Danio rerio: one gene and its partners. The protein of the gene in region 2 binds, or shares a complex with, the protein of the main gene of each other region. Links are inferred from orthologs where the notes say so. Each region holds a gene or a part of one and is shown on either strand. Other genes may lie near its edges. The genes, in order: polr2k, gtf2f1 and gtf2a1.

The links.
Region 1: gtf2f1 (region 2) and polr2k share a complex: the UniProt entries of both Homo sapiens proteins name them as parts of the TBP-based Pol II pre-initiation complex. The link is inferred for Danio rerio from reciprocal best matches to the Homo sapiens genes GTF2F1 and POLR2K.
Region 3: gtf2f1 (region 2) and gtf2a1 share a complex: the UniProt entries of both Homo sapiens proteins name them as parts of the TBP-based Pol II pre-initiation complex. The link is inferred for Danio rerio from reciprocal best matches to the Homo sapiens genes GTF2F1 and GTF2A1.

What each region holds. Positions count from the first base shown.
Region 1 is NC_133194.1:13,080,976-13,084,733, reverse strand, and holds the start of polr2k (DNA-directed RNA polymerases I, II, and III subunit RPABC4), read right to left. Parts: upstream 2,366-3,758; 5' UTR 2,286-2,365; intron 2,022-2,285; 5' UTR 2,020-2,021; coding exon 1,959-2,019; intron 1,762-1,958; coding exon 1,669-1,761; intron 1-1,668. UniProt on the Homo sapiens protein: DNA-dependent RNA polymerase catalyzes the transcription of DNA into RNA using the four ribonucleoside triphosphates as substrates.
Region 2 is NC_133178.1:32,757,235-32,760,892, forward strand, and holds part of gtf2f1 (general transcription factor IIF subunit 1), read right to left. Parts: intron 2,573-3,658; coding exon 2,402-2,572; intron 2,326-2,401; coding exon 2,111-2,325; intron 48-2,110; coding exon 1-47. UniProt on the Homo sapiens protein: TFIIF is a general transcription initiation factor that binds to RNA polymerase II and helps to recruit it to the initiation complex in collaboration with TFIIB. It promotes transcription elongation.
Region 3 is NC_133195.1:17,659,100-17,662,757, forward strand, and holds part of gtf2a1 (transcription initiation factor IIA subunit 1), read right to left. Parts: intron 3,597-3,658; coding exon 3,507-3,596; intron 1,245-3,506; coding exon 1,137-1,244; 3' UTR 1-1,136. UniProt on the Homo sapiens protein: TFIIA is a component of the transcription machinery of RNA polymerase II and plays an important role in transcriptional activation. TFIIA in a complex with TBP mediates transcriptional activity.

The DNA of each region.
Region 1 (3,758 bases), on a different chromosome or scaffold from region 2:
CCACCGTAGCAGCAATCCGTTTGTGAAAAATACACACTTAGGCCCCGTTTACACTAAAGCCTGATTCATACTTCTGCGTCAGGTGACCGGCGTAACCCACGGCGCAGGCAACGCGCGTGGCTGTGCATTTATACTTCTGCGCGCTGTCTCTGTCGGTTTGCATTAACACTTCCGAAACGCTAGTTGGCAGTGAGGTGTAAATGTTCCTCTGTGTTGAGTTTCTTCGCTACTTTTTTGCATTTCCTGAACACTTCTGGGATGTACAAGTGGCTCAAACTCGCTCATTTTAAGGCAGGAACCGGCGGACGTGCAACAACTTTAACTATAAGGTAAACACAAAACAAAACTTTCCATCCGGAGCTCCATCACGGGACTCCACACTTGTAAACAATCGCTCGCGCGGCGTCGCGCCATTCGCGCAGCTCTCGGTCCCGCCCAGACTCGTCAGCGCTACCAAGCCGACCAATCACAGAGCTTGCGCTACGCGTTGTTGCGATGTGTAGTTACATTTTTTGAGAGGTGCACGTCAGTGACGGCGATGGCCACGGCGAAGGGCTATGCGTCAGCGCCGTAGCATACGCCGGTGTTTGACCCAGAAGTATAAATCAGCCTTAATACATCTTAGTTTTAAAATGGCATTTTAGAACAAAAGCGACCTACGTCCACACAGGCGTTTCATCTAGCATTTCTGAAAAGCCTTCCTTCCACTCGATATCGATGAAAATGCACACTGTTATGCCTGCAGTATACATTCGTATCAGAGCTTCAGACATTTTGGTCTTTTGAATCTATCAGGTAATGTGTCACAGCATCAGTACACTGCTTCGGTGTTTCGCTTTCATGCTTATACTTAGTAATTTTAGTGAAAACCTCAGATACAGTTGGTTGGTTGTGCACCTTTTTTTCCCAACCAAGTTTGTCAATGTCATTGTAAAGACACAGATCACTCTATTGGCCTATTCATGCCAGAGTCCAATGGAAAAAGTGATTGAAAGGTGGTAATTTGTGTGCAACTTTATTTATTTTTGATTTGGTTATGGGTAAAACAAAGACCTTGTGGGTCAGGTAGTTGAAACATGGGCTACAAATAATTAATCCGTTATGAATTAATAATTAATTCACTGACGCCTACAATAACGATGTTATCGTCCATTACTTTGTTTCACATTATACATCATATGATGGCAAATTGGTCAACATCGCCCAATCCTATTAGCTAGTGTGCTCCAAAACAGTGACACAATATGCATTTAGAAAATGTAAAACTAATAAACATCCAGAGCTTAAAATTACATCAAATATGTTTATTTGAAATTATTTTTCACATGTATGTGTATTTTCAAAATGTAGGAATATACGTGTTCCCCAGTTTGTACATAAGCTACCAGCAGCTGTGAGATTTCAGTTAATTTACTTTTATTATACATTAAACTACAAACTAGTGTACTTTTCTTGGCTATCAAGTAAAATAAAGAAGTATTGCAATAAGTTTTTTCTCCTTAACCTCTTACTAAGGCTAACTGTATTGTTGTATCCCTAGTTACTATATCATGACATATCTCATTATTAGCAAATGAGAGGATTATAGCGTGAAATTAATTTAATCAACTTTTTTTGTCGTATCAACCAGGCCTACCACAAAGCATTGGTTTAGTTGATAAAGGATACATCTTTTGGTCCTCTTTTTGTACATGATCCTGTAACCACACTCTCTGCATCTGATGGGGTCTCTGGCCTTGATCTCGTTTTCTGTGTGACACTCTGAAACAAACACACACACACACACACACACACACACAAAATTTCAAGCTCAAAAACAGACTAGATTGTGAACATCTTGATTGTTTAGCATTAAGAAAGAAATGACTGATTACAAAAATATAATCAATACATAAACCTTCTAATAGATCAATATACATATAGATTATAAACATAAATACAATCAAAAGAGCAATCACCTCCACAAATGTAGATCATTGGCTGTTGTTTGGGGGGCTGAATGTCTTTCTGAGAATCCATGGCTTAAAGCAAACACACAAACATGATTATATAGTCTAAATTGAATAAATTCATTAGAATATTACACATTATTTGACCTAAACCTATCGTAAGAGCACATTTAAGAGATGCTGCACTATGCACAAACACGTTCTTCCATTATAAACCCAACAAGACACGTAATTCATCATATTAAAATTGCAATAAAACCCCGCACATATCATTCATCCTGTCATTTATCAGTGTACAAACGAGTACGAAATGTAAACATTCAAAGCATTAGCTACCTTTCACGCGTGAGCTCTCTGTTTGCTTCGAAACGTTTTTCGTTCACGCATGCGCACAAGCGACATCACATCACAGTAACGAACAATGCTATTGGTTGGCAAGAATTGAACCAATCTCGTCATACGCCGCCAGGAGGGAGGACATTACCATTTTACGCAGAGACTTACAGGTTCATCTGGGACTTTTATTTTATTACTGCCAGCAATTTCAGATGGCGGAGAAAAACTTCGCGGCGACGTTTTTAAACATTCATTTAGTGACAGACGTACGTAACCATGAAGACGTATTATTTGTGTACTTTTTTGTTTAACGCTAATGGTTTATATTAATTCATGTGTAACGCTGTTATTAAACCTGTCCTGAAATTGTGAAACAGTCTAAACACATTTATTTACTAACAGAAATGTGTTATTATTAATGAATAATTATTATTTGATTTTTTGTATGAGTGAAATGTGTTTCGTACATTGTCACTTGATTTGTCGGTGTTGTTGACGGTCTCAGAGCAGGAAGTAACGTTAGTGAGTCGCAGCTGCAAAAACTGCCAGTAACGTTAAACGTTCAGCTCTCGGGTAAGTTTGCAAAACTTTACTGTCAGTATTATATACTATTATATGTTTTATAGGTATAACCAGATAGTCTGTACACTGTTAGTATTTATGTTTGTAATGTGTTTTTTTTTTACTGGCAGTCGTAATCCCGCCTCACCCTTTCAGTTTCTGTTTCTCGGCAATGTGTTTAATACATATCAACATTCCCATTTATAATGTGTTTATAACGAAGGTATATGTCAGAACAAGCTGATCCAGCCAATTGTCATTTATTCATATTAATAGAGTTACTAATTATTGATAGCTGTTTATCTTTTTGATATACTGAAATGTTTTGTTACTGTTTCAATAATACTGAAATACTGCTAATTCCTTAAATATTATTATGATTTTTTAAAACTAATGTTCATTTTTAGAGCAAAAGATAGATATACTTTGCATTTGAAGGTAATTCAAATCCACAGGACACATGTTGGCCATTAATAACTAAATCAAGTGTAAGCACAAGTAATTAAAACGGTTTATGAAATGTAATAACATATTTAAATTATTTAATATTCCATAGTTATCAACAGGTGTATGCATTGTAACTATTGAGGGCAGCAATATTCAGAAACTATCCCCAAAAGACATCTCAGAAAGATATTCATGTTTTGTTTTTATGTTGAATGTCTAGAATGATTGTATTGTAATCAAAATGGTTCCGTCAGTAACATTACAGTTATACAATAGATAATAAACAACAAATAAGACTTCCTATTAGCAGCGCTTTTGTACATTCTCACATTTTTAGGTCTCCCAACTTATAAATTTGGACGTTTTATATTGTTGTTCAAAATAAAATTAAACTAAGTTGAGTTCCCCTTTGCTAATTGACTCGCTTTTATTACAAAAACACAGAGTCTTTATGCATCTGCATGG
Region 2 (3,658 bases):
GCCTTTGGCACCTTTTTCCTTTTTAGCTTTTGCCTTGGCTTCATCATCTGCAATAAAAGAAGATATTTTTTTAAACTGCCCCTATTATGCCATGTAAAATGTTTTTCACATTAATTTAAAGATCTCCTACAATTAGTTTACAAGCAGCCACATTCAAAAACACTCACAAAAGGCCTCTATTTTCTCAAAATATGCTTAAATTTAAATTGATCTAATTTCTCACAGAGCTCAAATCATTCATTTGATTTATCGTTTCTAAACCCCTCTTTCCAAGAGCCTCTTCTGATTGGTCACATGGTCTAGTACCCTGTGACAGGCTACTGCTTGCACAGGTAACACATTTAACAGAACGTTGAAAATTGTATACAGTAGACTATGCTGATAGATTTTACTAATAGTATTGAGCCAGAAACACTCTTTATTATTTATAGAAAGTAGAGATGTGGGATTAATTGAAATCGTATCAAAATCCTGATTTGAACACACGTGATATCTAAATCGCTTTACAGATTTTCCCACATTATGCTGTTTGAACCAATCATAATGTAGCACGCCTAAACAGAGCGCGAGAACAGGTGATTGAGATTAATGACAAATAAACTGCATAACAGGGATTATGAGTTCAGCACAGGAGGGCTTGGTGCCCAAAAAAAGTCAACATCTGGGGTGTGGGATTACTTTGGATAGAGGAAGACTGATGTATCACAGAATCAGGTAATTCATAAGACCTCTCAGTCAAATATTGCATCTTATAGCATATGGAAAGGGGAAGGCATGTCACTTGTATGTCAGTTCTTGTTACGTGACTCGCAGTGCAGCATTCTCAAAAGTGGAGATGTTTTCAACTGCGTGTGCATGGAATACATGCTTCACTCCCAATATACGTGTAAGCTGGGCACCTCCATTGGAAATAACTAACTTATGCAAAAGATGCAATATGTGAATGGCCCATTTCACGGCAGCATCACAAAGAGATTTAAGAGCTATGCATGGCAAAAATAAATTTGTGGACACATACAAAAGTACACATAACTACTTCTGATATGTGGTCAAACAGAACATCGTTTGAAAGCGTGTGTGCGCACACGCACGTACGCACAAACACTAGTCTATTTATTTGTTTTATCTAGAGACAATTTATTAGACCTTCAGTAGGTGTTTTTTTTTTTTTTTTGCTTTATGTCTGTTTTGGAGACGTTACAGTCTTTATAAAGAAAGATTTAATAAATTTCCTTTGGAATTACATTTCACATTCACACTGTATAACGCCTGTGTGTGTCAAAAACGTGATTAAAATTGAAATCGCAATATTGTTCAAGAAAATCATGACAGGTTTCTTTCAGCCGTGATAAAAAGCTATAATAGAGTGAAATCCCCACAAAATTTGCTTGTGTAAGTGAAATACCCATGAGGGTTTACTTTATTGTGTCCTGCATATTTAGTTCAGGGTGAAAATTAGATAGAAAACTGAAACAATGTCTTCTTTATGAGGTTGGTTTGATTTCATTTTTAAGATGCAGATTTAAGACAATTTAAATACTAATTAAGGCCTTATCTTTGCACTATGGAATTTAAGACTTTAAAAATCTGTGGACACCTTGTGTATGCAGCTTCTTCACTTATGATTGTGTGAAACTTGATTTAGCCCTACATTGCACTTCATACTCATGATTTCTCTCAGAAAAAATAACAACAAAGCGCAGATATGAAGCAAACAGTAGATTTAGCTGTTTTGGTGACATTGACAAAAAACGCTTCTAGACATGATGTTGATATGAACAAGCCACTGTGTTGGAGGGTCAAAATGCTGTTGGCAGGCAGCCCATGAAAAAGATAGACTGGTAACACAAGCATGTTGCATATCAATATGTATTGATAAGAGAAATTAAATTGGAATGAGTGGTTTAGAACTCACTCTTTTGTTAAGAGACAACTAAAGTAGTCAACATCTGAAACAAATCAAAACCTTTCATCAAAGTTGTCCTAAAATTATTCAACAACAACCATTCAAAATCAAATGTTGATTACTGAATATTCATTATGTACTTTGATCTTTAAATAAAAAGCATGATAAGGCACACTCATGTTCCTCTCTGACCCTTTTGCTCACCCTCACCATCTCCATTGCTGCCATCACTTTCATCGCTGCTCATTTCCAAATCTTCCTCGAGGTCATGAATTCGCAGGTCACCTCCTCTGCCTCCCTTCTTCTTTTTCTTTGCGCCTTTTTCTCCTTCCTCCTCATCCTCATCTCCTCCTCCTCGCTCCTGTTCTCTTAAACGCCGCTGGAGCATGATACTGAAGTGGTTCACCACTTTGTTTCTCCTAAATGAAAAATAATGAGCTGCAATCATCAAACTGCAAGCTTGTAATGCAGAAGAGAAATCAGGTTTGCCCTCACCTGCCCCACTCTTCCTCTGCTTCCTCAGCTGTGAGCGTGCGGTGTTTGGCCTGTGGTGTGAAGTTATACCAGGCGTGCACGGGAAATGCCTCAAAAGCACCATCGGCACTCTGTGTGAAGATGTAGTAGGACGCATTCTCTGTAACGCCCCCTTTTTTTATACCCTTAAATCTGAGTGGCAAAGAGAAAGAAAACAGCAGTAAAACAAGATCTAAACAAATAATAACACACTTTAAATGCAATTAAACACCAACAACAAATCCGAAATCAGCTCATTGTGTCAGCACGACTGGTTGCGATGGTTTTAATTAGTCACGAGCACATTTTATTCAGATTTAGTTTTTTATTGCCACCTTAAAAGTGGATGGCTTTTTAATGGCAAGACTAATATTTATAAGAATTACAATTTTCAATAAGAGAAAATTTTGAAAATAATGAATAGATTTTTAAATTAATTTTTTTAATTGTCTCAAATAGTTTTTCACTTACAGATACATGTCAGATATCTTACATCTGAATACACTCACAAATTAAACGATATATATGCATCCATTTTCTCTTTAAGCAATGTATGCTTTTACTTTTGTGCACATGTAAACTGTTATAAAAATAATAATAAATAGATTAAACAAAAAAAAAGAAGGGGGGAGACAAACAAGTAAAAATAAATAAATACAAAAAATATATACATGCATATCAGCAACAAAACTGTACAGGTAGGAATTGATCCTTTCGATTTTAAGTTAACGGAAAAGTTCAGTTTAAGGGATGTTGCATAATTGGTCCATTTTCCAAGATTGAAATAAATTGTTCCATTTTCTGATTCACAAATGCAGTATTTGCTACATTTAAGAAATATCCATTGTAATTTCCATCCTTGTATTTAGTGTGGGACTTTTGTGACAACCATTTTTTGGTAATGGTAATGCATTGTGTATTTCTTTCCAATATTTTTTAATAACAGAGCAGTCCCAGAAAATGTGATAATGACTCGCCTTTTGATGTCCTCGTTTTCTCCAGCAAAATAGTATTTTTAACTTCAATAGATGATAAACAATTTTAAAAATAACCAGGAAAGACGTTAAATGTTAAATGTTTTTTTTTTTTCATTTTAATGGTTTGGTCAATCAACTGATTTAATCATTAAATAGCAAAACAAAAGACATGAAAGACACTGATTAGAAAGAACATTATTTCAAAAAAATATATAATAAACTGTACTAATAATTTTAATCAAGTTTTATCAAATGCAATGTT
Region 3 (3,658 bases), on a different chromosome or scaffold from region 2:
ATCTAAAATAAATCTGAAAGGCACAAACAAGGAGCAATGAATTACACCAAACGAACAAAGCCCCAAACCATGTCGTAGAACATTCTTGAAGCATTTTCCTCAGACACAGAACATTACGAATTTCAAACTGTATGAGGGCACGGCTTTAAAAAGTCAGACTACGCAAGATAAAACAAGTACGGAGGGACTAAAACAAACCCTAGGGTAACTCCACAATGCACAGAACCACATGCGGAAATCCTCCTCAGGGCCAAAAAGGAGCACTTCTTTCATTAAGAGCACAGTTCGGTGTCTTTTCCCCCCCGAAATATGAACGCTGCCTGAGCTTCGGGAATAAATACGAACGACTAGAAATGCGTAAAATAAGCCTGACTGGGAGGAAAGTAGGAAGGGCGGCCTGATGGAGCACTTCATAGACACCAAACGCAGAAGATTGCACACAAAACACACCAAAGCACCCTGTGATGCATCAACTCCCAAAAACATGCATCAGACTGACAGAGCAGAGTTAGAAAAACCCATGACAGACATAAACACGCAAACAGCTTTGTGAGATCGACAACTTGCGCTCAACTTGCCTGCTTTCATTGGTATCTCTTTTGCTGAACATACAAAGGTCTAAAAACATGGCATCTATTAATGGGAATTGTTGGAACGCAGCTCTTGCTGGATTGTTTTAGTGTTTGTATGAGGCGACCAATAGTGATTCGCTTTACACAGGATTCAGATTTACGGAAATCACCAAACACGTACGATTGCTGTGAAAAGGCTGTTGACAAATCTGTTTACTTAAGATGGCGTCTGACGCTAAAATCGGCTCCCTGCGCCTAACATTTTCATCTGAGGGGGCGTAGATGTTTTTGGAAAGGAGATATTATGGACTGAGTTTTTTTTTTTTTTTTACAGGTAAAAGAGTAGTCTTTTTAAAAAAGAAGGGGAAAAGAAAAAGAAATCTCATGGATGGCACAAGTTATTTGTGTGCAGAAATCACTCAAACAGCACAGTAGCATTGGGACGTTACTCTTCAGCACCCCAAGTGGGGAATCTCCTGAAATGTACAGTTTCAGGTCTCGATGTGTCTTGCCTTAAAAAGTAGGCAGTTTTTGGGTTTTTTGTTCTCTTGTCTTTCCCGCTTTTTACCACTCGGCGTCTCCGATGGCTTTGGAGAACACAAAATCCCGTCCGTTCAGATTCATGATGCCATCCTTCAGGTGAAATTTCCACTTGTTCTTACTTCTGTGAATCTGAAGCATAGATTAAGAAAAACAAAAATAAATTTCAGGGACTTTTGGACAGTGATTTCAACCCTTTCATGCGTATGATCACACCGGTGTGACTGCTAAAATTTAAATCTGATGGCGGGTGCTATAGCACTGGAAAAGGAGCGCAGCACTAATTATAAATCACAATTTACCTGTGCTTTCAAACAAATAACATTTCTTTTAGGTTTCAGACATTCAAATACACATAATTACAAGCAAAACAAACCAAGTAAAGTTTGTAAAATAGACGTGGATGTCTATGAAGACGGCAATAATAATTATATTTCAATATAACTGGACGATGTGCTTTATTCACCTAAGATACAAACTGTTTACATTACTAGAATATTTTCTTGGCAGAAAATTATTAATAAACATGACAAATCCAGCAGCGATCGGAAGTTAACGAGAAGTGTTAATATTATTTATCAAATCACACAATGTATTAATTGTATTTTATTAGCGTCTACCCCTCTCAACCCTAGACCCAAACCTCAAAGTTTGTAAAGTTAATGTAAAATAGTATTTGTTGTACAGTGTCAAAATTAAGCTATATTGAAACAAGTTTACACAGCTGAATCCCATCTAGACTTCACCCTCTCCTGCAGCATGGTGAAGTCTAGATGGGATACAGCAGAGGATACTCAATATAGCATAATCTAATAAAATACAATTGTATTAGATTACGCTATATTGATGAGTATACTCAGCTGTATCCCATCTAGCTAATAAACTGCACTCAATGCGGAATTTAATAAATATAAATACTTCTCGTTAACGTCCGATCGCAGCAGTATCCTTTCTAGCAACAACAGCAGCACCATTCTATCTCATATTTGACAATCGGAGGATCAGAAATTTGTCAATATTTACAGAAAAGGGCAAAAAGACTTTTCACTGTGCAATGACTAATCTTGCTAATAAAATCATGCAATCCAAAAGTTTGTCAATTGAACATTTTCAATAATGTAATATGCCATAGTGTTGACAGCGATAATTCACTCAAAAAAAAAAAAAAAAAAACTTAACTCACTTTAAAGTGGCTCTACACCTTTCGAGTTTCTTGTGTTGAACACAAAAGATGACATTGAAGAAAGCTGAAAACCTATAACCATTGACCATAAAAAAAAAAAAAACATAGAAATCAAGGGTTACAGGTTTCCAGCTTTTTTTAAACGATCCTCTGTTTTTAACAGAAAAATGAAAGTCAAAGAGATTTAAAACATGTTAAACAGGTCCTGAAAATGGAAAATCTTCCCCTGCTCTGCACGTTTCCTAATGCTGGTTTTCTGTGTGCGCAATCTGTCACTTACACAGAAACTCACATGCTCAGCAGACCCACTGAGACGCGCCTTTTCCGTCAAAATGCATCCGACCATAGTTTAAGTCTCGTAAAATGTCCAGGATTCAGGTTTTACTTTCGCATTTTAAAGTTGTCATTATTTGTATGCGTTTTTGCATTACCATTTCGCAGCTGAATGAATGTGCGCGCACAGCCGCGAGAGAAACATTAAATGATTATTCACATAATAAATGTCTCAGATAAACTTTATACTCGGAGAGAACAAAATGCCATCTATAATGGCTGCAAAATATTTGTACACCACTAGAAATGGTTAATCAAGTAATTTGCCTTATTTAAATAATCTACACTTTTTATTCTAGTAGTTATTATAATTTTTTGCAATAATGTCTATTTTATTTATTTAAATTAATTTCTCATTTGCTGCATGTTTTATTAATTTAATAACTTTAACCCACTGAAAAGAAAAGGTGTATGACAGTGTCATTCTAAATAAAAATCAAGGTAAAAAGCACATTATTTTTTGTTTGTCACATGATGTTGACCATTTATGTGCTGTGGGGAAAAGGGTTTTTTCCAATCAGGCTACCACTGCAAGTATATTTTAAACCTGTGGGAAGCCCTGCACAGAGCTGATCTTACGAGGAAATGTAACTATTTCACATTTTGTAAGTTTAGTTCTGTATAAGTTCAGTCGTATGAAAATGTACTATTTGTAAAAGGAGGCCCCCCCCAGGGGTCCGGCACACTTGAAAACTGATCTAAAATGAGTTTGACACCCCTGCTTTAAGGACTTAGGGTTATAATTTCTATATAAACATATATGCCAAATATTTGATAGATTTTCTAATAGTTTTTGCACTTAAATTAATTAATGTAAGAATATAAATGTGTGCAAGCTATCAAAACAGATTAAAGATATGTGATAAGCAAACACTCACTTTGTCATACTGGCAAACCACTACGTTCTCTGTGTCGAAGAGCTCCTGATCTTCCTCATCACTGACATCATCACCACTGTTTAACGGCTCCTGAAATAAAGACAGATTATTTAAAGACAAATTATGACTGGACTAAACCAGATGAGTTCAGG